3 linked regions of the Drosophila melanogaster genome follow. The protein of the gene in region 2 interacts with the protein of the main gene of each other region in a pairwise test. Each region holds a gene or a part of one and is shown on either strand. Other genes may lie near its edges.

What was found. The genes of interacting proteins can lie anywhere in the genome.
Region 1: the proteins of Galk (region 2) and CG11581 interact in a two-hybrid assay, tested with the Drosophila melanogaster proteins (one large-scale study listed by BioGRID).
Region 3: the proteins of Galk (region 2) and CG4835 interact in a two-hybrid assay, tested with the Drosophila melanogaster proteins (one large-scale study listed by BioGRID).

What each region holds. Positions count from the first base shown.
Region 1 is NC_004354.4:14,174,075-14,180,534, reverse strand, and holds CG11581 (uncharacterized protein), read right to left. Parts: upstream 3,613-6,460; 5' UTR 3,589-3,612; coding exon 2,584-3,588; 3' UTR 2,079-2,583; downstream 1-2,078. Other genes in the region: CG1368 (uncharacterized protein), read right to left, coding at 5,007-5,564, 5,706-5,708.
Region 2 is NT_037436.4:8,979,834-8,989,048, forward strand, and holds Galk (galactokinase), read right to left. Parts: upstream 6,259-9,215; 5' UTR 6,144-6,258; intron 5,984-6,143; exon of another isoform or gene 5,586-5,983; intron 5,476-5,585; exon of another isoform or gene 5,399-5,475; 5' UTR 5,393-5,398; coding exon 5,220-5,392; intron 5,154-5,219; coding exon 4,980-5,153; intron 4,835-4,979; coding exon 4,101-4,834; intron 3,904-4,100; coding exon 3,699-3,903; intron 3,641-3,698; coding exon 3,454-3,640; 3' UTR 3,271-3,453; coding exon of another isoform or gene 2,890-3,270; 3' UTR 2,379-2,889; downstream 1-2,378. Other genes in the region: CG13314 (uncharacterized protein), read left to right, coding at 2,890-3,270; CG5068 (uncharacterized protein), read left to right, coding at 7,052-7,125, 7,194-7,392, 7,452-7,561, 7,899-8,210, 8,266-8,490, 8,553-8,862.
Region 3 is NT_037436.4:5,476,860-5,485,741, reverse strand, and holds CG4835 (uncharacterized protein), read right to left. Parts: upstream 5,953-8,882; 5' UTR 5,893-5,952; coding exon 5,886-5,892; intron 5,747-5,885; coding exon 2,079-5,746; downstream 1-2,078.

The sequences.
Region 1 (6,460 bases), on a different chromosome or scaffold from region 2:
ATTTGCTTGATTTTTGTGTACCATACCTCATTTTCTTTCGGTGCATCTATGTCAAAAACAAAGCTCAAATATTTATCAATCGCTTGTTGGCTTGGATTGTGTCCATTTGGTCAATTGACACCTTGGCCACTTTGACTTAAGTGCAATGCACTTATATTTTCAGCAGGTAATGCAAGTTACATTGCCTTACCAGATTATTACATTAGGTTTAAATACGTGAGGAAACCAAACTGAAAATTGCATTCTAAAATGATATTTATTGATAACATTTTTTTTTTTTGGAAAATTATAAATATTTATTTGCAACATTGGCATAATGAAATATAATTTATTTGTTCAGTGGCACCAACATTCTATGCACAAAAGCATCTGCGATTTTTTCCTGCGACTTTCGTCCATTGTCTTAGCTTTAGGTTTTGAATTTATGATAAAATGTTAATCGTTTAAGGGCCCGGGCCTACCAGGCCGATTTCCCAACAATATAGCATATCTACTGAGATCTCACTCGGTGGCAGAAACGTGTCCAACCTTCGGACATTTTCAATGGGCCATATATTATTGGTAATCAGGGGATCTCGATATGGATTCGATACGATTTCATATGCATCTCGTAGGCGTGTGTCGCGGTGATTATTATGATGGGCATGTCATGGGCTTACAAGATAATACAAAGACCATACTATGCGGATCTTCGGAGGCCATTCATTTGAATGCGAACTTCTTCTTCATCTTCATCATTGTCATCATCATTTTCTTCTTCTTTTGCACCTGGCGCCCCAAACACGCGCCCCGCACAAAAAAGTGAACAAAAACGCGCAGAAATGTGACAAATTGAAAACAAGTTAAGGTTCGAGTCCACAAAGGAAAATGTCAAGTTGAGGGCCTCTGACAACCGCGGGCACAGTCTGCCTTAATTATGACTAATTGCTGTGCGAACAGCCTCTATATATCCAAAAGCTATAGCTCACGATCGTGATGAATATTCAGCTGAGTTCGACTTTAGCGAAAATTGCAACAAAGCTGCTGAATTGATTTGGATTAGCCACTTTCGATTTGCATATACGACAAACGGAAGGGCTTGAGCTTGAGTGAAAGATAGAAAAACTCAGATGTATAAGATATAATATACATGTTCTAGTTACAATCTATATCTAAATAAGTAAGCAAATTGCAAAAAAGTTTGTTAAAAAGTGATATATTGCCTGAAGAGCAATACTGCTTTAATAAAATACTTTAAAATTAGTTCATTATTTTATATATTGTTTTACTTTATAAGGTTATTTTACTTGAAAGTGTAGTAAAACACTAAATACAAATGAATGTTAAGCAACCAGAAGTAAATAGCAGCACTAAACCGCCCAACTGATGTAAGTTGATAAACCACTTGATGTAAGTATATGAACCAACTAATGTAAGTTGATGAAGCGTGTCATAAAAGGTGACAAAAGCTCTCCCAAAAGACAAAAAGACATTTTTTACCATTTGGCAAAGCCATAAAAAAGTTGTTATAAAGACTTTTAATGTATTTACTGTATAACAACAACACAATCAAAAGCCACATATAAATAATTCAGTGGAGACATCAAAAAAAAAAAAAAAAGATGAATAAAAAATCAATTCGGGCTAGTTGAAGTCTATAGACTTTTGAAACCAAACATGGGAGTTGAATAAGTCTGGTTTTAAACTATGGAAAAATCCCCTTTTCGATAACCATCTTAAGTTCACGAAAAGAAGTTCATTATCATAAATGTATGTATGTTCTTTAGGGGAAACTCTTTGACGTCAGAAACTAGTTTGGCAAATTAAAAAAAAAAAAAAAAATATCGCGAAGCTAAAATTAACTCAGAAGGTTCTTTGAATTTCGCTGAAATTAACTTAAATCGATTAAGTTTGCCCTTTAGGTGGGCAGCTTCTTTCTCTACCTCTTTTCTGTGACGTCAATTCAAAATTTATACATGTAAGACAATCATTTGAATTTATTCGTTTTTAAGTTGGATTTATTTTAGAATATGAAATGATAAACATAAATCCATTTTTAATGATCCATTGTTGTTGCATGATAAACTATTACTGCTTTTAAGTTGTGGATGTTTTTTTTTTTAATTCTTGTACCATTTTGTTTAAACTTAATTCCATCCAGAAACATATCAGAGTTCAATAAACCTTGATGGTGAATGTGCATAATTATCGTAGGACTTCGGTTTTAGTCCACACCCAAACCACTAATCGTGTTTTTTATTTCAGCCTTTAATCGCCTTGTATTGACTTTTGAAGACAACATAGTTTATGAACACATATGTGTCTGGCCAGGGTATGCATAAAACATAGGTCTGTCTATATATATGTATCAATCACGACGATAGATTGTCTCGTTTATGGTTATCAGTCAGTTTTGGCAAAGATTTCGATTAGCATAGAGACAATCGTTTTGTCTGTCCGCATCTTTATGGCCAGCAGATCAAATAAATGAATAAAAACAAAGGCACAAAAAATACAAGAAAAAAAAAAAACAAAATATGGATCATAATTTATGGCGAACATGTTTGATGAACTCCCCAATTTGGGGCTTCGAAAGCCATCGCATTACTTGGCCCTCTTGTAGACATAGCCGCCATTGGATGCGTAAACCGTATCCGCCACACTCTTGGGATCGTCGGCCGATGGTGGTGCCACTACTGTCCTCTCACTGTCCTTTGGTTGCTCCTTCGCCGGCTCATCGGAGTAGCCCGGCGGAGCGGGTCCTCCGAAACCGGGTCCAAATTGTTGGTAGGGATTCTGGCCGGGCACAGGTCCGCCGAATCCTGCGGGCACATTGAATCCTGCTGGACTGGGTCCTTGGAAGGGACCCTGGGGATTTGTGAGGGGAAGTCCCTGGTTTGTCAAGAACTCCGGTGGATATGCGGATCCTGGGAAGGGCCCTCCCTGTGGCGGGAAGTTACCTCCTAGGAAACCATTGCCCGGTATTCCCTGTGGCCCGAAGGCACCTCCTTGTGATGGGAACACTCCCTGCTGTGGTGAGAAGGGAGCTCCTTGCGTTGGGAATCCATTGCCAGGGATGCCTTGTGGCTGGAAGCCAGCTCCTTGTGGGGGAAACCCACCTGCCTGCGGGAAACCACCTGGCTGGGCAAAATTACCAGCTTGCGGACCGAAAGGACCACCTGGTGGCAGTTGGAAGGCCGCATTCGTAGGACCCCCTGCGAATGCGCCTCCATTGGTAGGACCCGCCGGGAATGCACCTCCGTTGGGATAGGCCGAAGGCACTGGCCCAATACCATGTCCTCCTCCCTGCTCGACAGGACCTCCGCCGAAGCCGTAGAATGGTGGATAGATGGGCAGAGGGAAGTTTGGCGGCTGGACAGGCTGTGGCAAAACGTTGCTGCCCGTGGGAATGGCATAGCCCGGCGGCAGTGGCAGTCCAGTCGATGGATAGAATCCAGATGGATCCTTCTGCACCTCCTGGCCATCAGCAGCAGACCGTGTGGTTGGCTCCAGTTCCGCACTGGGCGGTATATATTCCCTGGGCAGGTGACTCACATCTCCGTTGATCAGGGGCAGAAGTAGGACCACAACGGCCCATGGCTGCATCATCTCGAGCTCCGGTTTGATCTCTGGGAACTTGCACGGCGACGGTGGCTATGCGGCCACGGGCCCCAAATCCGCCATATATAAGACGGCATATCAACATATTACATAAATTCGCGGCCGGCTCATTTCACTTTCGCATTCGGCGAACGGAAATTGCTTTGCATCATCACAAAGGTTCCATAAATAATCGCCAATCCAAAGGTGATCGAAGGTGCGAGGGGAGGTGCCAAAACTGAACTATAAAATTTAATTTAGCGGCCGGATTTTACATAAATAAACTAACGCCGAAATCGAATGTTAAATTCAGCATCGCACAAAGAAAAGAGGCGATAATGAAAAAGATTCAATAAACGAAAAGAAAGAACAATGAAAGGGTAACATTTTATTTGATTTAGATTCAAGTTCTTGCTCAGCTTTATGATGAATATTAAATTTTAAAAATTACTACCTGAAAGCAAAAGGGTGTTAATTAAAAACAGGAAAAACGTCGAGGAGGTTCGTTTTATTTACTGTAATATACTAAATAATGGTTTTGAATGATTTCAAAAAGTCTTGAGTAAATAATTTTTCAGAAATGCCAAGCACTCTCAGAAAATGTATCTGCAAGTCATAGTTTTGAAATACTCAAAAGCTTAGTGTTAAAACTAGGAAAACCATAAAGTTTCATGCTATATTTAAACTAAAAGCTCTTTGAAAATGCTTAAAATAGTCGCAGCTTCCAAGTTTAATCAAAGCTGCAAGCTGTTTATAAAAAGCCCAACTTAATTAAAGCTTTATATTATATTTTTTAACGCTAATACTTAGTTAAAACATTGATGTATGTTAAATGTTTATGTTCTTGTCCTACAGGTTTTAGTGTTAACTAGTCGAAGAATTAAGCTTTTTAATTTTGAAAATTACCATTATAGACTAATGCCAATAAATCTTCTTTACTTTGTATGGACATATCATTCGTATACTTTATTATATTTTTATTGGCTTATAAAGTGCCACCTTTTGTCTACTCTGAAGTATTAAGCACCAACAAGCACTTGCTTTTGACGTTCGATTTTGAAAACGAACCGCACTCAAACCGCATCAAAACCGCAACAAAACCGCACCTAAACCGCAACCAAACCGCACTCAAGTCGCGCGTGGTTTTTAGTACGCTATTTTGGTATCCTGGTCCGGAATTTTGATATAAAGTGAATAGGGATACACTTGTTAAAAATTTTATTAATATTAATATTAGACGCTTGTTTTTATAACTCTGAAACCCATTTTAAAAACAAAAGTATTTATTTGGATTATTGATGTTTCGGTTTATTTCGTTGTAAACAAAAGTTTACAAAACAAAAAAAAAAAATATATGGTTAATTTGGGCAGTATGTAGTTATGGACACTGTTTCGTGTTCAGTTGCAGGCCTCTTCGTTGAAGATCCCTACTTCCTGTAGACGTAGCCACCGTTGGAGGCGTACTGGGTGCCCACATCCACGGAGGGTGCAGAGTAGCTCACCGATGGGGCGGAGTAGCTGACGGCAGGAGCGGAGTACGACTGCTGGACAGCAGGGGCGGAGTAGCTGACCGATGGAGCGGAGTACGACTGCTGGACAGCAGGGGCGGAGTAGCTGACCGATGGAGCGGAGTACGACTGCTGGACAGCAGGAGCGGAGTAGCTGACCGATGGAGCCGAGTAGCTCACAGAGGGTGCCGAGTAGCTAACAGAGGGGGCGGAGTAGGTCCTCTGGACAGCTGGTGCGGAGTAGGTCCTCTGGACGGCCGGTGCGGAGTAGGTCTGCACAGGAGGCAGGTACTCGTTGCTGGGGGCGACATACGACTGCTGGATGGCTGGAGCGGCGTAGGTCTGCTGCACGGCTGGTGCGGAGTAGCTCACCGAGGGAGCGGCGTACGAGCTCTGGACGGGGGGCAGGTACTCGTTGCTCAGGTGGCTAACATCGGCGGCCACGCAGGCGAACAGGGCGAAGGCAATAAGGAATTTCTGCAAGTAGGACAACACACTTCACACATTACAAACACAGCAAATTTTTTAAGCACCGCAAAAAAAAAAAAAATTTTGTCAAATAATATTGTTAAATCGATGTATCCTTGTTTCAAGCTGAACTTGTAATCCTTCACTGACCATCTTGAGTTGAGGTTTCTGCGTTTTCAAGCGACTGTGCTGGATGAGCTAGAGGCTGCGACTGATGCCGGTCCCTACCAGCCGCCAGTCAATTTATAGCTGCCGGCCGTCTTCGAAGAAAAGCCCCGGTTTTGGAGAGCCCGTTCCAACTGCAGCGGTGGCACACCGGCACTAACGGCAGACGCCGGGCAAGAAGAAGAGCAGGCTTAAGCGGCCAGCGGACCAAGAAGAAGCCGCCGCAAAAGACGTCACCATGAAATCAAGACAAACAAACGGCTGACTGGTGCTGAGGGGCTGAGGGGACATAGCCACATAAGTTGGCAGCTAATTGTGAAAACTGTTAAAAAGTTTAAGTATTTTCAATTAAGAATATGCTTCACTTATAATTGTTTATGTACACCAGACCGTTTGCAATGTTCAATTAAGTAGTAGTGGTAGCACAATGCAAAATAAGTAATAATATAAAAGATTTAGATACTAACATTTGAGCTAATCACCTATTTACAACTTAAAACTGCCGACTTGTTAAATATTTACTTACTTCTTAAAAACTGAGTTTTGAAAAAAAAATGGTAACTTGAAACGTTAACTAGCATAGATCATTGGCAGAGCTTACTTAGTTAGATGGTTTTGGCAATAAAATGGCTAAAATGGCAACACTAATCAGGGCGGAGGTTAAAAAGCATATATAGGGAGGGGGCTGGCTAAACTACCAAACGGAAAATCACATTAAAATTAAATTCAACATAAAAATC
Region 2 (9,215 bases):
GAAACGTGTGCAAAATGGTGCAGCAAACCAACCGCCCGCCGAACTGCCAAACGTCGACTGGCAGTCCAAGTGCAATGGAAACTCACTAGAGAGCCCAAATAGCAGTGAGAATCGAAACGAGAACCCGCTGAGAAGGAGAATCAACAATTCTCTCAATTCTCTCGCACGTTGCTCGGTTCTAAATTTGAAAATGCATTTTGAAAGCCGGTAGGAGGTGGCAGGCGTGACTCTCCTCGTTCAGGGTCACCGCACTGCACTTTCACTCGACTCGGACTCGGACTCGGGTGCGTATACTTTATGCGCCGCCCCGCCAAAGCGGATGTTGCTCATACGCCGCGTCGGCCGAGAGTCGTTTGCATTGGCCCACCAATTCGTGCACTTGAAATTGCATTGGCCGTCCTTGGCAGGCACTGCGTGTGGGTCGAGGCAATGCGCATAAAAATTAAGCAAAGCACATAAGTATGTAATGAAAGGGGTTTACTTTTTGGATTAATCCACAGTACTGCACCTTAAAAAGAACAGTAGTCAAAATTAAGCTAGTCCTTAAGTCATTTAGATTTTGGATTTTAAAAATAAGACCTTTTTTTGAAACCATGATTATAAGAGATTGAGCACCAAACCCATCATAAATATGAATTCATAATTTCTACAAATATCCATCTAACACACAATCAGCAGTAGAGTTCCACCGAATTTTCGGTCACGTAGCTGAAGACAAAGCCTAATAAAGTTCAAAGACCAAGCTCATTAACTTTGGCCGCAGTCAACAATGCAGGGGCCAAGCAATTTGTTTATTTATTATATGCATCTACAAAGCCGCTAAATGGCCATTAATTAAATATCAAATCAGCCACGGCCAATAAACGAGAGACCACTCCCAGAGACGAGGCGAATTCGAAAACGAAAAATCCAAGCAGCCAAACAATGTAAATACCAATCCGCTGGCCAAGTTGGATACGCACCTGAGATCGGGAAAGTTCAAGGCTGCCATCCGGCAAGTGATTATGGCAATTTCAATCCAGTGCAGGCAACTCCGGGTAATGCTTCCGCCTATGGGCTGATCGGTTGAATAACCCCAGATTTATGTACGCCCGACACCCGTGGCAAATTAGGGTCAAACATGTGCAGCCACCACGGAGCTCGGCTCGAGTTTCAGACTCTACTGGCTCAGCATTAAATTCAGGGTCAATTGGCACTTTCAAAATCGCACAAAGCTCGGATTGAGTCGGACATGGATTCTGAGCAAACTTGTCAATCATTGTAATCGCACTACTACCTATACAGTGCACGAAATCGGGCATTAGTTGTGAAAATACATACATTTAATATGTGATTGGAAAATATACAAAATACTGTCAAAAATTTGTTATGTATACAATTTTAAATGGAATGATATTGTATTATATGAAAGTTATCCTTTTAAAAAGTTAAACATATAATATTTATTTCTGTGCTGCGATGAATAATCTTTGAATAATAATAAACCAATTGAGTTATCAATTGTTCAAACTATTGTTTTTGCGAGTATTTGTATATGGTGCACGTTGATATATATCTGTGCGACTTTTGCCATGCGTATAACGCTGCCGACTGGCAGTCCGACCTTTTTTGGGGGGCACTTTTATGGAGCATGAGAAACGGAGACAGATATCATTGCTTTTAATTGCCCAAGCTGAGCGCCTAGGCCTAGGTCAGTCTGTACCAGAATTGCAGTCCCCTCCGCTTCGCTCCACTCTACTCTACACTTCAATCCAATCCAATCCACTCCACTGCGACCATAATTAATTTAATAAAATGTAAAGCAGCAGCCTGGTCTGAAAAAAAAACTTGACTCATTCTCGGCGCTCAGAAGCGGCGCTTTGAGCGAGATTCGAAAATCGGTTGACTCACAGACTTGAGTTCAACTCGTTTTTGTGGCATTCAACGGCAAGCGAATAAAAGTTCGCCGTCTCGATATTCTATGATCAGTTTACAGTCTCAACTTCACCCAGGTGTTCCAGTTTCATTTGAAGTGCTTCTCTCGAGGATTAGCCGTTGAAATAAGTCCAGATCAAAGTGAGTGAGTGTCGTGTGTTTGTGCGAGTGGGTGCTTTTTGGAGAACCGAAATCCGATTCGGTTGTGTGGGATCGTAACCTTGACTTTGGCTGAATCAACGTATCAATTTGGACTTGGAATATGTAAATGCATTTAATGGCGCATAATAAAAATGCATGTACAGTGGCTGTGATCATTAAAAAGTAGAAAGGTTTAAAGAGTGTATAATCTAATAACGAATGTCACATTTTCAAGGATTATATCAGGGTTTCAGTTCGAAGTGAATATATCAAAGCCTAAAAAGGATGATCATGATTTAAATCAATTTCATTGCTAACGTATTCTTAATTAATACATTTGGTAAATGCATCTTCGATAATGTCATTATAACGTAAAATAAAAAATAATATTTTCACCAATCCTTATAGCAAATTACCCAATTGCAATTAAAATCTCAAAAGAGTTCTAGAGAGACCACTGTACTTATATCTCAAGCTACGATTGCTTTGTTGCGACCAAATTGGAGCACTCTACGCTTGACAAATAAAGCTCGCCATTTAGTTCGCGGCCAGTCCAATTCTTATCAATAAAAAAAAGCCAGTTCCAAGTTGCAAAAAAGTTCATGGATTAGCAACTGTAACAGTTTGAGCCAAGATCTCCGCGTTGCCCACTCCATTGGCCATATGCGATAATTGATTTTCCCGTACATAATTTATGACGCACGAAACTGACAGCCGACTTGTAGATTAAAAACTGCCACTGACCAGCGGCAATAAATCTGTCCGTATCGCTTTATTAGAACGTTGGACAATAATGCCAGCTCCTGCTCCTTTTCTCCCCTCCAGCAGCCAATCATGCCGACCGCCTGCCAAGTAACGCTGCTCGCTGGATGCCTGCTTCTGGCCATGAGTTCGGTTCGGGCCCAGTTCTTCTACCACCAGGCGCTGGGTCTGCCGGTTGCGCACGCTTACGAACCGGCCAATCCGTACCAGGGATATGCAACAGCCGATGCCCATCCCTCGGTGGTGCGAAATGCCCAGTGGGAGTCTGAGTTGCCGGCTGAGCTGTCGAAGAGTGCGCGGTTCTACAATGATCCCGTGATCGCTGCCAATCTGGCCAAGGAATCACTGCTCACGAAGAAGGAAATGGCAGTGGTACATCGTGAGGCGGAGAAAATACCGCGCGAACAGGTGTACAAGCTCTTCAAGAACGCCGGCTATCTGAGTAGCAGATAGAACTCACGATGCCAGATGAGTTCCGTTCCCCACGTGCCTTGTTGTATTTTAGCTTGTAAATTGTTAATATATTGTACATAGTACTCTACATATTAAATGTTTTTTCTATAAATGACCGTTTGATTATAGTGACTGATAGGATGATTTTGGTATAAAAGTTGGATTAAAATGCTACACAAGCGTTCACTGTATATACAACTCGGCTCCGTTTCCTGGTAGAGTGGCAAAGACCACTTCGCTAAAGTTGTTGGGCTGATGACGCTCCAGGAGATGTGTTGGCAATTGAGCATAGTAATCGCGCTTCAAAACCTTTATGTACTCATCAGCTGCTTCTATGGAATCGCACATGGCAACTATACAACCGCCCCAACTGAAAAAGAATAATGTTGATTAAATTCATAGAGTCACTAGGATATCGGTTTTCTTACCCAGCTCCAGTGACTCGGGCGCTAACGTTCTGCTGGTTCGATATGGCAATCAGGCGCTCTACATCAGGATGAGAGCATTCGTATAGCTCCCTTAAACTCTCGTGGGATTGCCGCATGAGCTCACCCAGCTGTTTTGCACCTTCCTTATTGGCTCCGCCGGCGAGTTCCTCACAAATTTTCCGGAATTTGGCCACGCGACCGGATTCTGTTAGGCGGAAACAATGTTATTAACTGATCTTGCAATTTAATATTATTTGCTAAGAGTTTAAATCTTTCGGACAACAAATGAATGTCAACGTATTATTAATTGACTGTAATTATTCATTTGGTGATCAATAAATTTAATGTACACGTAATGATTCAGATTAAATGTGAAATCCTGATTGTAAATGATTAACTTACCCTGAATAACATGCAGAGCACGTTGACGCAGCTTGAACTGCTCCATGTGCCGAGTGTTGGCGGATAGGAACTTGGTCTCCAGTTCCTGTTCGGTGACTCCCAACTCCTTGCAGATATCCGCTCGCGTGTAGTTGCTCTTCGTTAAGTTGTCCTTAATCAACTTCTCGAAAGTCTCATTATCCATTTGGCACGCCTCCTCTAGATCAATGAAGCGCACAATATCCTCCCAGTTGATCAAGCCCTTGCGCTTGGCCAGCCATCTAGTGGCCAATCGGCATTCCACCACTCGTTCATTGTAGTCCGACGAAGCAGCCTTGTTCTTTTGAGCCAGACTGTTGGCCACAACGAAGCACTTGCCCGCTGGCAAGGTCACCGGAGTGCCCTTGAGCTTGGGATGGAACTCGATGTGGTGGGCGCAGCCAACTCTGCCCAAATAGGCTATTGCCTGATCCATACCACCACTGTGCGTTCCAATGTACTGCTCACACATGGCCGAAATGGAAGCCAGCTCCCTGCGATCTAGTTTCTTGCCCTGGACGTGTGCGGTGGCCAACACAGCGGAGCTGACCATGGCACTCGAACTGGAGAGTCCTGCCGCCAAGGGCACATTACCGTCCACAGCAATGCGCATGCCAATGGGCTTCCACTGGCTGCCCAGACTCTCCTGTATTCCTTTGATGCCGCACAAGAAGTAGTTATACCAAGCGGGTCCACCACTCTTTGGAAGCTCGATTCTAAAATAGCAAAAAAATATTTGGACTTATCATTTCTAAATTCGTTTAGATACCGCCTTCAAGGTGACATTGTTATTATAACAAATTAAATGGAAAATTTTCTAGTGCTTAAGGTCGGTAATTATCATGTTTCTGATTCACCCACCTGAGCGTTTTGAGATCGGCATCGTAGCCCGTAAACTTCGCTTCCTCGAGATTTCTGAGTTGAAGCTGGCTATCACTAGGATTCTTGGCCACTGCAAGGAAAATGCTCTGGCTTACAGCCATGGGCAGCACCGAATAGCCGCAGTAGTCCACATGCTCGCCAATGATGTTGACCCTAGGAGAAGGAGGAGATATCATCGATAAGGGACTATAGATGTGCACCACGAGTGGAACTGCTCACCTTCCTGGCACTCGAACGATAAAGTCCGGATTCGCTCCGAATTGTTGTTTGAAAAATGCGGTCAATTGCTGCACGCGCCCGTAAACCTTGGATTCCGGCTGGAGCTTCTGTGGGGCCACGATTTCAATGCCGGCACCCAAATCCTGAGCAGTTCCGTTCCCGTTGGCAGTCATGTTCACCTGCAGGCGGGTGAAACTTTAATAATGCCCATTATTTTCGCAGTCGACGAACCGTAAACGTGTCGCAACTGGTTAATCTAAATTTATGGGCAAAAACAAATTTACATACGTAAACAAATAGCCGTGGCAAAGGGAAAAACAATTGCACCTGTGGTTGTGCAAAAATTAGCTTATCAACCCATCTCACCTTATCAATATGTCCAAATAGCTATTAGCACACAAAGTGATGTACTAACATTGCGGTTATCAGTTGGGGAAACGGCATCAAAGTCACTAAAACATTAGATTGACGCCAATTTGACCGCTTAATTGGGCAAAAAACAAGTACAAAAGTGCAATTTCTGCCGGTAAATGAAAAGGAAGGGTGTGCGGGAGCGAGAGGACTATAGCCAACAGCTGTTATTTAGGAGTTGCCAGGCTTGCAGAAGCATTAACCCTTGAAATGCGCAATGGATAAAGATTTTATTTTGAATATTTATCCGCGAAATTGATGTTTATGTCTAGTCCCAACTAATAGTAAATTATTTGGCAATAAAGTTCTTAGCTGGTAATTGTTTTTCAAAAGTACTACCGCTTAAACTTACTGCCGCATAATCTAAATAGACCATTAATGACAAACATGACATTTATCTTATCTCGAAACCATAAACTTAACCTGTATTGAGCTTACCTTTTGTTTACATACCAGAATAAACACAGATATAAAGGATTTTGTCAAGATTTTTACACTTTTGCCGATACATACCCAACAATGCCTTATCTTTCTCTGTTTGAGGTCAAATTAACTTGGTGCCGTCTTATCAGAGAGGAGTTCTAGTTTTCGGTGTGAGCACGTCGCGTTCCATCAAGCAACTGAGCAATCCGGCCCGTTCCGTTTCCGTTTTTGCTTAGTCCGGAATACTATGAACAATAAAGTGATACTTCCTTATCAGTAGCATTACTGAAATATAAATGCTCGGAGACCTTATAGAACACCAGTTTCCCAGCTAGCGATGTTGCACTGTGTGTATCAGTAGGAACTTGTTGAGAGCTTTGTTAGTTTATAACTAGCTGTCTTTACCGTTAAATGGGTCAAACATCTTCATAGCATATGAATTCTTTCTTGTTAGCATTCTAAAAAACTGGTTTCCAAATTTTGTCTGCTTTAAAAAGTGGTTTTGACATCCACTTTGCGAAAGGTTATTACCTTGCTTATTATTTTGCCATTAATGTGAAGTATTTACAAAGCTGATAAGGTACAAGTGTTTCGGGGAGCTCATCAATTTTTTCGTAGATAAACTTTTAAAATACTTAATTGATTAAAATGTACAAACATTAAAATATACAACTGTTGTTGTTTCAGTATGGTACGGATTTTCGTCTTTGATTGCAAAAGCCTAAAATATCCGTTTTGGAATTTGAAATGTTGACTGTTGCGGTTAGGCGTTGCCAGACAAGGGCATTGCCAAGTGCAGCTCTTGAACCAGCGCTGCCAGCTGGCGTCAGTTACGGTTTTCTCGATTACGGTCACACTGCAATACTTCTTCGTTGAATTGGAACTATTTTTTTGTTTTCGAAAACGGATAATTGCGAGCAACGACTGTGTGAATAACCACTTGCACCTGCACCGTAGGAGCACCACCTGTTGACCCCACAGCGAAGACAATCGGATCAATGTCGAGTTTACAGCGCACGATGTTGAAGGGCAAGCTGCCACCCACAATTCCTGGCGGGCGCATTGGCAGAGCGTAAGTGCAGGGTATTCTGCGACTGGAGTGGGGAGTACGCAATCTCTACCCAATTTGGCTAATTACAGGGACTCGTTCAAGAAGTCGCGCATTCGCGACTACAAGCCGGGCATGTGGAACGAATTCTTTGCGGAGAAGGAGGACGTCACGGTGGATGAGCAACGCACCTTCCGCATCTATCGCACCAAGCAACCGGAGAAGCCGGGTCCAGTTCTCCTTCTGCTCCACGGCGGTGGCTACTCTGCCCTCACCTGGGCGCACTTTTGTGTGAGTGAATGCGATATATTCTGTTAAATAGTCTTAACATGTACATATATCCATTTAAGTCTGAGGTGACCAGCATGATCCACTGCCAGTGCCTGTGCATCGATATGCGAGGTCATGGGGACAGCAAGGTGGACGACGAGGACGATCTCTCCGCTGATACGTTGGCTAAGTGAGTTGAATCCAAAAAAATATTGTTCTCAAAATATGTTTTAGAGATGGTTATGCAAATTTTTCTACTGCTTACATTAAAAACCAATATTTTTAAGATTTTGTCGAGTAAAACTTCTCGCATTAACTCTTAGCTTTATGAACGATTAGGCTAAACTTGCATAATCTCTTTATTTATAAAAATAGCGCACTGCACTTAAAGTAGGTCGATCTATTTGAACGATCACTCATTTGTAAATATTATTTAGTTTTTTATAGTTACTTTATTCACGGTTGAAGCTAAAAACCATAATAATCTAATCTATAATCTATAATAATGTTTAAAATATTCTAAACAGGGACATCGGTGACTTAATCCTGAAGCTCTATCCTGAAGAAGTGCCGCAGCTTTTTGTGGTTGGCCACTCGATGGGCGGCGCCATCGCCGTCCACTTTGCCCACATGGCTCTGGTGCCCAATTTGATTGGAATAACCGTCATCGATGTTGTGGAGGGCACAGCCATGGAGGCACTAGCCAGCATGCAGAGCTTTCTGCGCTCCCGTCCAAAGTATTTCCAGAGTATTCCGAATGCTATCGAGTGGTGCATCCGAAGCGGCCAAGTGCGCAATGTGGACAGCGCCAAAGTGTCCATGCCGGGACAGATAATAAAGTGAGTAGGATTGTCGTAAACGACAGAAAAGTAATAATAAATCAATCCCACGCAGTTGTACAACGAACAAACTGGCAACGAATGATCTGCCATTACCAGATGATGTATTGGAGGAGGCCCACCACAACAGTATGTTTCCCAATCCGTTTAGCATTTCGGAGGATGAAGAATCGTCACCGCCGGGCGATGACGCCGCCGATGGCTCCTCAGAAAGTGCCGCAGCTGGCGCGGATTTCAAGAAGCCCAACACGACCAAATCGACAACCGAAGCGGCCAAAAAGTACGTAGTCCAATTTATTTTATTTTAGTTAAAACACAAATTATTCATTGATTGCTTCTCAGTTACACCTGGCGCATTGATCTGTCCAAGTCGGAGAAGTACTGGGTGGGCTGGTTTTCGGGGCTGAGCGATAAGTTCCTTAACTTGCGCCTGCCCAAGCAACTACTCCTCGCCAGCATCGATGGACTGGACCGCACCCTGACTGTTGGCCAGATGCAGGGTCGCTTCCAGATGCAGGTCTTGGCCCGCTGCGGTCACGCCGTGCACGAGGACCGTCCACACGAGGTGGCTGAGGTGATTAGCGGCTACTTGATCCGGAATCGGTTTGCAGAAGCAGCCAGCGAATTTCGTTGCCACATGCCGTCGTGCTAAACACAACCACCCCCTGAATCCGAGGTTGAGCACAAACTGAGGTCACAAAAGTCTATTTTTGAATGGAGGTGCATTACTCTTTGAACTTACAGATGCGTGCATATATATATATATATACAAAATGTAGTGCGTAGGTCCAGATATATACAGCCGTATATTCTATATACACATAAACTAATAATCCAGTAATTTATTCGGTACTTTTAATTAAACCACTTGAATTTTCAACATTGTACTTTATACTCATTTTGCCAAAAATCTAAGGTCTAAAGTGCTTGCGTTTGGGCTTCTTGCATTGTTATAATGAGTGTGTATTAAATATGTGCCAGATCAAATGAAAATTTAACGAAATC
Region 3 (8,882 bases), 3.5 Mb from region 2:
GTTCCCATAAATACCAGTAAACCACTTTTCCGGCTTTTCCATACCCATTTATTTTGCATAAGCTTTTTATGAAATGTTACTAAAATGTAAATATTTCAAAGTTACCAATTTTCGCAATGAAATTTTGCCATTTAATACAGCAAAAAAACAAGGCAAAAAAAAACATTGAAAGGCCTGAACTTTGGCTGTCTGTCTAACTGCTGGGGCATCCAGCACATGGTTTAAATTCTCGCGGGAAACATAAAATACATTTTACATAAATGGATTGGAGCTGCACATTAATATGCGCCAGCAAAAGTTTTATAAACTAAACTCATGCATGAAAATGGGGCAAGAAGGGGAATTCCGAGTTTCTGCAATGGCAATTTGATATACATGTGCATATGCATGTGCATGTGTCGAGTGCTTCGAAAATGTTTTCGCTGCGATTTGTGTCTCCTTCAACTGCATCGCATTGAGATTTTGATAATTGTTAGTTATGTCTGGATATCGTTACAATTTGAGAGTTTTGTGAAAGTTTCCTTCTATTCCCCCATTAAGTTGCCTTCCCTGGCAATTAGCTGGGGAATTCTTACCTGTAATTAGTTTTAAGTGTTGTTTATGCCCCCAAAAACTTTCACTATTAAATTCTAACTCTACTGCTTTCTTGGCACACATTATGCATACACTAAATGGTACATTTATGGGTTTTTGAAAAGGATTGGCCTGTTGCCCAGTATAGGTTATATTGCCATCGCGGAATATATGTTATTATAAGGAGTTGAACTAAAATAATTAATACACTAAGTATTCAAATATTTCTTATTAAGAGAAGAAACTAAACAATTATGAAATTTAGTTCTTCCCCTTCGAAAGTTAGTCCAACTTCTTGGGTGTTGCCTGTTCAACACTTTTGGGCAGCTCTTTCATTTGGCAGTGATTCAACTAAATCTGCCAAGGCAAATCTAGGTAAAATTGTTTTTTTATTACCCAACTTGGCATCGAGATTCAGTTTGAGGCGACACCCAGGCAATCGATATTTAATTTATAAGCATTTAATGATAAAATCCCAATTTAAAATCATTTAATCGGCCCGGCTGTAAGGCAAAGTCTTATCTTCAATTAAGTGAAATTCTTGTGACTTGTTGCTCAATTTTGGGGCTCCTCCACGATTATCCCTCTAGACACAAGCACAAATCCTTGTTTATCCTGGGTGGCTATCAAAGCGTTACAAATCACTCGAAGGAGCGCCTTCGCGCGTGTCTATCGATTCAAGTGCGACAAATGGAACGCATTAAGTTAACATTATTGCCAAACAATTTGCTCGAATTGTGTTCATTTTGTGTCGTTACTGTCATTGATGCTCACATACATAACTTGCTTTGGTTTCCTTTCCCTTTCTTCGATTTCCACAACAACAACCGCAGTAGCAACAACAAAACTGAACAACTTATCCTTGTGCTTGTTATATTTACCCTCAATTGTATATGTCCTGCCTGCCACCTCACACCCTAAGGATAATTCCTTGGCAATTGTGTTTTTATGTGGCCAACCCCAAATCTGATTAGACGAGCTTCCGAGGGTTTCAGCTTTGGGCCAAGAACGGCAGTATCAGGCTACGATAAATGGCTGAAACTTGTAACTGAGCAGGATATCAGACGTGGCATTGTCAAGGGGAAACTGCTTTTAGCCTGTTGCTAAAAATACTGTCGCGCGTTTGCGTCCCCTTGAGGGTCTTCGTTTGCAATCCTTTCGACAGGAGGTTCTGCAATTCCAATCGGCTTGTTACCTGTCCGGGGAATTGACTGTGTTAAGTGGTAAATTACTTTTTTTTTCTTGGTTCCGTTTTTTTGCGACATATTACGGGAAAAGGGTTTGCATGTAATTGATACTAAAACTGGAGCAAAGTATATGTCTAAAAAGTGAAACACTTAAAAAAGGACTTAGAAAGCCCTAGAAGTGTAATGTGTGAGGAATATGTTAAGCGATTCCCAGCTATTGAGCATTTGTGCATTTACCCAATTGATTTTTTGGGGTAGCAAAAAGAACAGAAATGGAAAAGATTATTGCTGTGATTTATGCTTTATTAATATATTTTTTTAAAATTCAATAAAAAGACACCTTTCATTGGGAACAGAGGTGCATTGAAGAAGATTATCATCGAAAATCGTTCCCTCATCGCAATCCACGGCATATGGAATGGGATAGTCACAGACGACATAGCGACCGCAATCATTGGGATACGGAAGCAGAGTTCCAAGAGCTTGGCCACAGCATATATTGGGGGTGTACGGATCTAGAGTTGTTGGTGTAGAAACTGTGGTTGTCGATTCAGTTGTTGTTGTTACTGTTGTCGATTCGGTGGTTGTTGTCTTTGGAGTTGTTGAAACGGTTGTTGGCTCGGTTGTCGTTGGGGTTGTTGAAATTGTCGTTGACTCGGTTGTCGTTGGGGTTGTTGAAACTGTCGTTGACTCTGTAGTAGTAGTCTTTGGAGTTGTTGAAATTGTCGTTGATTCCGTGGTAGTTGTTTGGGGAGTGGTTGTAGCTGTAGTTGATTCTGTGGTTGTTGTTGGGATTGTGGTTGACTCGGTAGTAGTGGTCTTTGGAGTTGTTGGCTCGGTTGTCGTTGGAGTTGTTGAAATTATCGTTGATTCTGTGGTAGTTGTTTTGGAAGTTGTCGATTCTGTTGTAGTTGTTTGGGGAGTGGTTGAATCTGTGGTTGTTGTTGAGATTGTGGTTGACTCGGTAGTAGTAGTCTTTGGAGTAGTTGACATTTCTGTAGTGGTAGCCTCGGGTGTTGTTGAAACTGTTGTTACCGGTGTAGACGAAGCTTCTGTACTTAAAGTTGTAAGCCCTGGTGTGGTTAACTTAGTGCTACAACCAGCTAGTTCGGGATCCATGCAGGTCAATTCCGTGGGACTAAACTCCAAACCATCCGGACAATCGTAACCAACTGGTATTGGATATTGGCACTTTATATACTTGCTACAGTTTCTCGGGTAGGGTACCAAGGAGTCGTCTGTCTTGCCTTCACAAATTCCATCTGCCGGCTTTTCAGTTGTAGAAGCTTCCGGGTTAGTTGTTCCTGGTTCCATTGTAGTAGATGATGGTGGTGTTGAAATTGTTGAAGGTGATTCAGAAGTATCAGTAGATAATACTGTAGATGATTCTGTAGTTTCTGTTGATTGTCCTGTAGATGATTCTGTTGTTGATTCCGTTGTTGATTCTGTTGTTGATTCTGTTGTTGATTCTGTAGATGGTTCTGTTGTTGATTCTGTAGACGATTCTGTAGAAGATCCCGTTGATGGTTCGGAAGGCGTTGTTGAGCCTTCCCCGTCTCTTGGTGTAGTCGTCGACTCCGATGGCTTAGCAGTGGTTGTAATCGAACAATTGGCGAGTGAAGCATCAACACATTTTCCAAGCTCCACACTAAATTCATCTCCTTTTTCGCATTCAAAGGCAACCGCAATGGGTCTATCGCACTGAATATACTTCGAACAATCGTTGGGATAAGCGACAAGGGCCCCATCCTCGACGTCGTCACAAGGTCCTTTCTGCGGTGGTGGTCTCGTAACCGCTGTGGTCGTTGTCGGCTCACTGGTAGTTGATGTGGTTGAAGTGTAGTCCCATCGACAGGCATCTGAAGGAACATCCGCTCCACACTTTTCAGTAATTGGATCGTAGTACTCCCCACAATTACAGACGTCCATCATGTAAATGTAATCATCCACACAGCGTATGAACCATTGACAATTGTCCGGATATGGGAATGTATCCCGACTGCTATTTGTACACATGGTCGGTTCCGGAGGAGGTCTTGTATAGCCTGGTTCTAGAGTCGTTGTGCTTTGATCACCCTCACAATCACTTTCATCCCAATCATCAATGCACTTCTCTAACTTGGAACTGAAGAATGTACCATCGGGACAGAAGAACGCTATGGGAATTGGTGAAACGCACACAATGTACTTGGTGCAGTTGTTGGGATAAGCAATATTCTCGTTCTCATTTCGACCACCGCAAATACCAGTTTTTGGGGCCACAGTTGTGGTTGTCCTTTCGGTGGTTGTAGCTGTGGACTTGGGTGTGGTATTTCTTTCGGTTGTTGTGGTCTCTGTCGTTGTTGTTGTTGTGGTGGTTGTGACTTGTGATGGTTTGCACGCATCGGGTGCCACATCAGGTCCACACTGACCTGTGCTGGGATCAAAATAACTGCCGTAAATGCAGGGTGCCAGAGTCCATTGTCCGCCGCCCAAGCAAAGATAATACTTGCTGCAATCATCCGGATAAGAAAACGAAGCTCCCAACTCCTGACCATCGCAAAGCTGATCTGGTCCCAAAGTTGTTGCCACTGTGGTGGTAGTCGTGGTAGGAGTGGTTTTTTCAGTAGTAGTAGTTGGTATGGTGGTTGGAATTGGTGTCGTGGTGCGATCTCCAAGGCACACAACATCATCTGGCTCATCGCATACAAGCAAGTCGGGATTGAAGAGCGTATTAGGAGGACAATGACCCATTTGCACTTGATTGTCTTTACATATTAAGTACTCCGAACAATTGCCTATGTAGGCAAAAATAGTGCCGTCCTTTTCATCTTTACAATCATTTGGATCGACATCAGAGGGAAGTCCATCTGTAGTGGTTACAATCTCTTCTGTGGTGCTAGAATGTATTTCCGTTGTAGACCCATCAGAAGGCAGTGTTGTAGGCGTTGAAGGAGTTGTAGTGATTGAAGGCGTCGTCGTGACTGAAGGCGTCGTTGGTTTGTTGGTTGTTCCCGGAGTTGTGGGGAATGGCAGGGGGTCACACCGCACCGAATCGGGTGTATCGCAGATGTGCAGCCAATTATTAAAGAGTTTATCCGGCTGGCAGTAATCCAAATCTGTGCAACCATTTTTGCAGGCCAAGTACCCACTGCAATTGTAAGGATACTCATAGAAACCATTTCCCTTCGGCACACAATAATCCTCTTCAATTCCCTCCGGCGTTGGACCGCAAACCACATCCTCCTCAGTTGTTGAAGTGGGCGGCATTTCTGTTGTGGTTGTAGGAAGGGGCAGCTCCTCGCAATCTGCCATATCGGGAGTATCGCAAATGCCAAGGTACTTATTGAATACCTTGTCTTCAATACAGTAATTTAGCACGGGCCAGCCGTAAGTGCAGTTTATATAGGCCTGGCAGTCATATGGATAATAATGTACCGAGCCATCCTCCTTGTTGCGACAGTAGTCATCTGAAATTCCCGGTGGTGCCGGTGGTGGATCCCAACTGGATGTTGGGAGGTAACTTGAGGGGGTAGAGGACGTTATCTCTGTACTGGTTCCGGTGGTACTTTCTGTCGTTATCTTTGCCGTACTTGATGGTGGTTCTGTGGGTTCTGGCGTTATCTTTTGAGTACTGGATGTTGGTTCTGGCGTAAATCGAGTAGTTCCATCCGTAGGTTCTGGCGTTTCAATCGAGTAGTAGATACATTCTACAGCTTGGGGATAATTACATTGCTGGGTCTTATTATCCCACCAGAGATTTGCGGGACACAACTTCACCGTGGGATAGAGACAGTCGCAAACTAGGAACAAACTACAGTTATCCGGATACGGTACCAAAGCACCAAAGTCCTTGCCCTCGCACATCACCTGGTTTTCGTATCGCTGTTCATTGTTGCAAGTTTCGTGACGAGGTTCGATCTTTGGCAGGGCCAAAACATTTAGCTGCCAGCTCCAGAATACGGCGATAACCACCAGAAGCCATGGCAAAGGCTTGAAAATATTATCTGGAAAAGGAAAGAATACAATAATAATACAAAAAAAAAAACATACAGAGACTATTACTAGTATTTAAGTTTAAATATTTATGTATAATTGACATAATAATTTATTGCATTGTACTTGCATAGAATATCTTAGATTTACCTTGCATAACAACTCCCCTTTCTAAATTGTACTATATATTTTTAATAGGTCTTTTCGCCTGCGAGTTTAACTCCACACTGACTTGTTAACTAGGCCAACTGTCTTGTCTATAGCAAAAGCTATTTCCTGATACAACGTCGGTAGCTTATATTAATGACATTTTGATTAGATTTAATTAGAAATTCTTTGAAATTTATAGAATATCGTTTTCATTCTAGTGATTGTGATTTGTGATTTTATGTTATCGTTAACTTCTGAATTATTTTTCTTAAGTGCCATTTCAACACGAGCAACACAAGATAGTTTCCGTAATATTCTAATCTAGTGATAAGCCAATTACGTATTGAAGTCTTATCGTGGCGTCATAGATTGTTTTGTTTATAAAGGTTAATTTTAAGCAAAATATAAGGCAGGAAGCTTCTCTGGGGTTTTCTTTAAGTATTTCCCCTACTGGTGTTTTTTTACACACGTATTGCTTGTGAAATGAGTGTCATTTTATATTCTTTCATTTCGAAGGTAAATCATTTTATCCTGTTCGCATGTGTTTTGTGTGCGCCTTTTGTGACTCTTATTGCTGCTGTTATTACACTTATTGTTCTTGTTCCAGTTCACGGTGTTGTTGGGTCTTTAATGAGCCCACGTGACCTTTCCGACAGCGAAGTTCGAGTCACAATTTATGATCAGCACTCGACGCGTAAATTACACGAATAAAAATGCGAACATAAACATAAATGAAGCTAGAAGTTTAATGCCCGGCAAGCCATTAAAATTAAGCGACAAAACATGAGTGGCACACAAAATACGGCATTAAGTAGAATTAGTTGAAAATGTATAAACAGATTGAAGAAATTTGTATCTCTAGTTTAAAGTGGATTTGCAAGCTGCAGTTGCATAGAAAGCTAGCCATGGTATTTCAATTTGTGCTGCAAATTACTTAAAAGCATACAAATCTATTTGTCTGAAGGATGTTTTTATGCTGTCTGGCTGACCTTTTTTCCATCCCTTCTTCAGTCGCCTTTGGGTTGACAAACAGTCACGAAGTTGGAAAATATAAAGTGCAGCCTGAAAGGACAAATCCATTAATATAAAAATAAAGTTGCATAAAAGAAAGTGCGGATTATTTAAGTACAGATTTTTTGAGATTAAAATAATAAATGGTTTTGGGTAAATTAAAGTCAGGAGTATGAATGAAACAATACTTATAGGTACTCATGATTACTCTTTTATAAAAAGATATATGAAATTTATTCTATACTTAGCATATTTTTCTTTGGAATTAGCTCAACAAATCAAATATAATCAAATGTTCCCACCTCTTTGGCCAAACTTGCTGCTGGACAATTTTTCAGCTTGATCTGTTGGCTGCTGTCAAGCGTTTGATCTGCAACAGATTGAACTATCAATTATGCCCCTGCATGCGACGTGACCAGCAACTGACATGTGCCACATGCCACACCCCATCCAAAATCTGGGAAACAAGAAGCAGGACCATCAGATGGCAATGTTAAAACGGACGTTTAGTTACAGCTGAGCACCTGCTCGCCTTTCTGTCCGCCTGGCTGCTCCTCAAAGGAATGGCGGCGGAGAAGCGGGTGAAAGCGAGGGAAAACGTGTCCTCCACGCAGCAAAGCTGCTCCTTGCCCCGTTCCACAACTCCTCCCCTTGTTTGTGTTGCATGAAATTGACCCGGTGCGTGTGTCGCCAGCGACTGGAAAGGATTCTCGGCGATCTGATGGGGGGTTTGTATATGGCGCAATGCATCCTGGGGCCTAGATTCATCACCGAGTCTGGCGGCATTCGTGTGTTTTTCCAGCTTCCAGAGATTTCACGTAAGCCCCTGTGAAACTCCTAAAAAACGTCCAAAACGTTTTTTAAGCCATATAAAAAATGTTTAATTACTAGAGAAAAAGAAACCATTATAAATTTGTTAAATATGCCCTTTGTAAGTCAGAAATAGTTGTCTGTAACCAATTTATTTTTGTAGCATTCAAAGCTTCGCAAAGTTTAAGTGATTGTTTCAAAATATCTGAAAATCCATTGGCTAAAATACCCAAGAAATTGGTACAAATGAACTGTTTGATTACCACAACCGAGTAAAAATCGAGTAAATGAAATACCGCAAAAGTGCAATCATGCAATGAAAACCCAAAATCATTGAGTACAAACCAAGGACCAAAGTTCCGGAGTAAACTAAAAAAACACACAAACAAAGTGCAGAGAATATGCATGTGTATATTCTTTTTTTTACCAATGCCGAAGGTCCTTTGGCTTTGTTACCGCTTTTTTGCCCCCTTTTCCCTTCCTTTTTTTCTGTTAATTAAAATCCAATGATTCCCAGAACCTTCTTTGGACTTCTTTTAATTTCTCTTATGTTTGTTTTGCTGAATTTACATTTTCTTTCTACTTGTTTCTTATTTTTTACTTCTGTTTTTTTTTCTTGTTGTTTTTGTATGCTGAGAGATTTTAATTGCACACATTTTTGCAACGTTTGTTGATAAGAATTTTTCGTGTACCTTTGTAGTTGTAGGCAACTACAATCAGCAAAATTAAAAATATTTTTTCCCCACCAGATTGCGGAATTTTTATTTCGGTGCTAGTTGTTAGTAAAGGCTGAGATATATTTTTCTAATAGAAATATTTTGCATGGCTTAAATGGAATGCAAATTGAGATACGAGGACCAGAAAAATGTATAGCAATTTATAAATGTCGAATTCATGACCTTAACGTTGTGCAGGATAGGCTGTCTGATATAAATATATTTTACTTGATTTTTACATATTAAATTGAAAAGCACAGACTGCAATAAATACATTTGCTTGACTGCACTTAAAACCTGAACGAATTGCTTACAAATATCACGACGCTTTTGCTAAAAAATACTTTATGATATGGACTTATGAGATGGGTGAACTTAATAACATACAAAAAACCTTATGTTCTAATAGATCGAAGACACTATTAAAGACACATTCACACTTGTAAGACATAAATCTCAT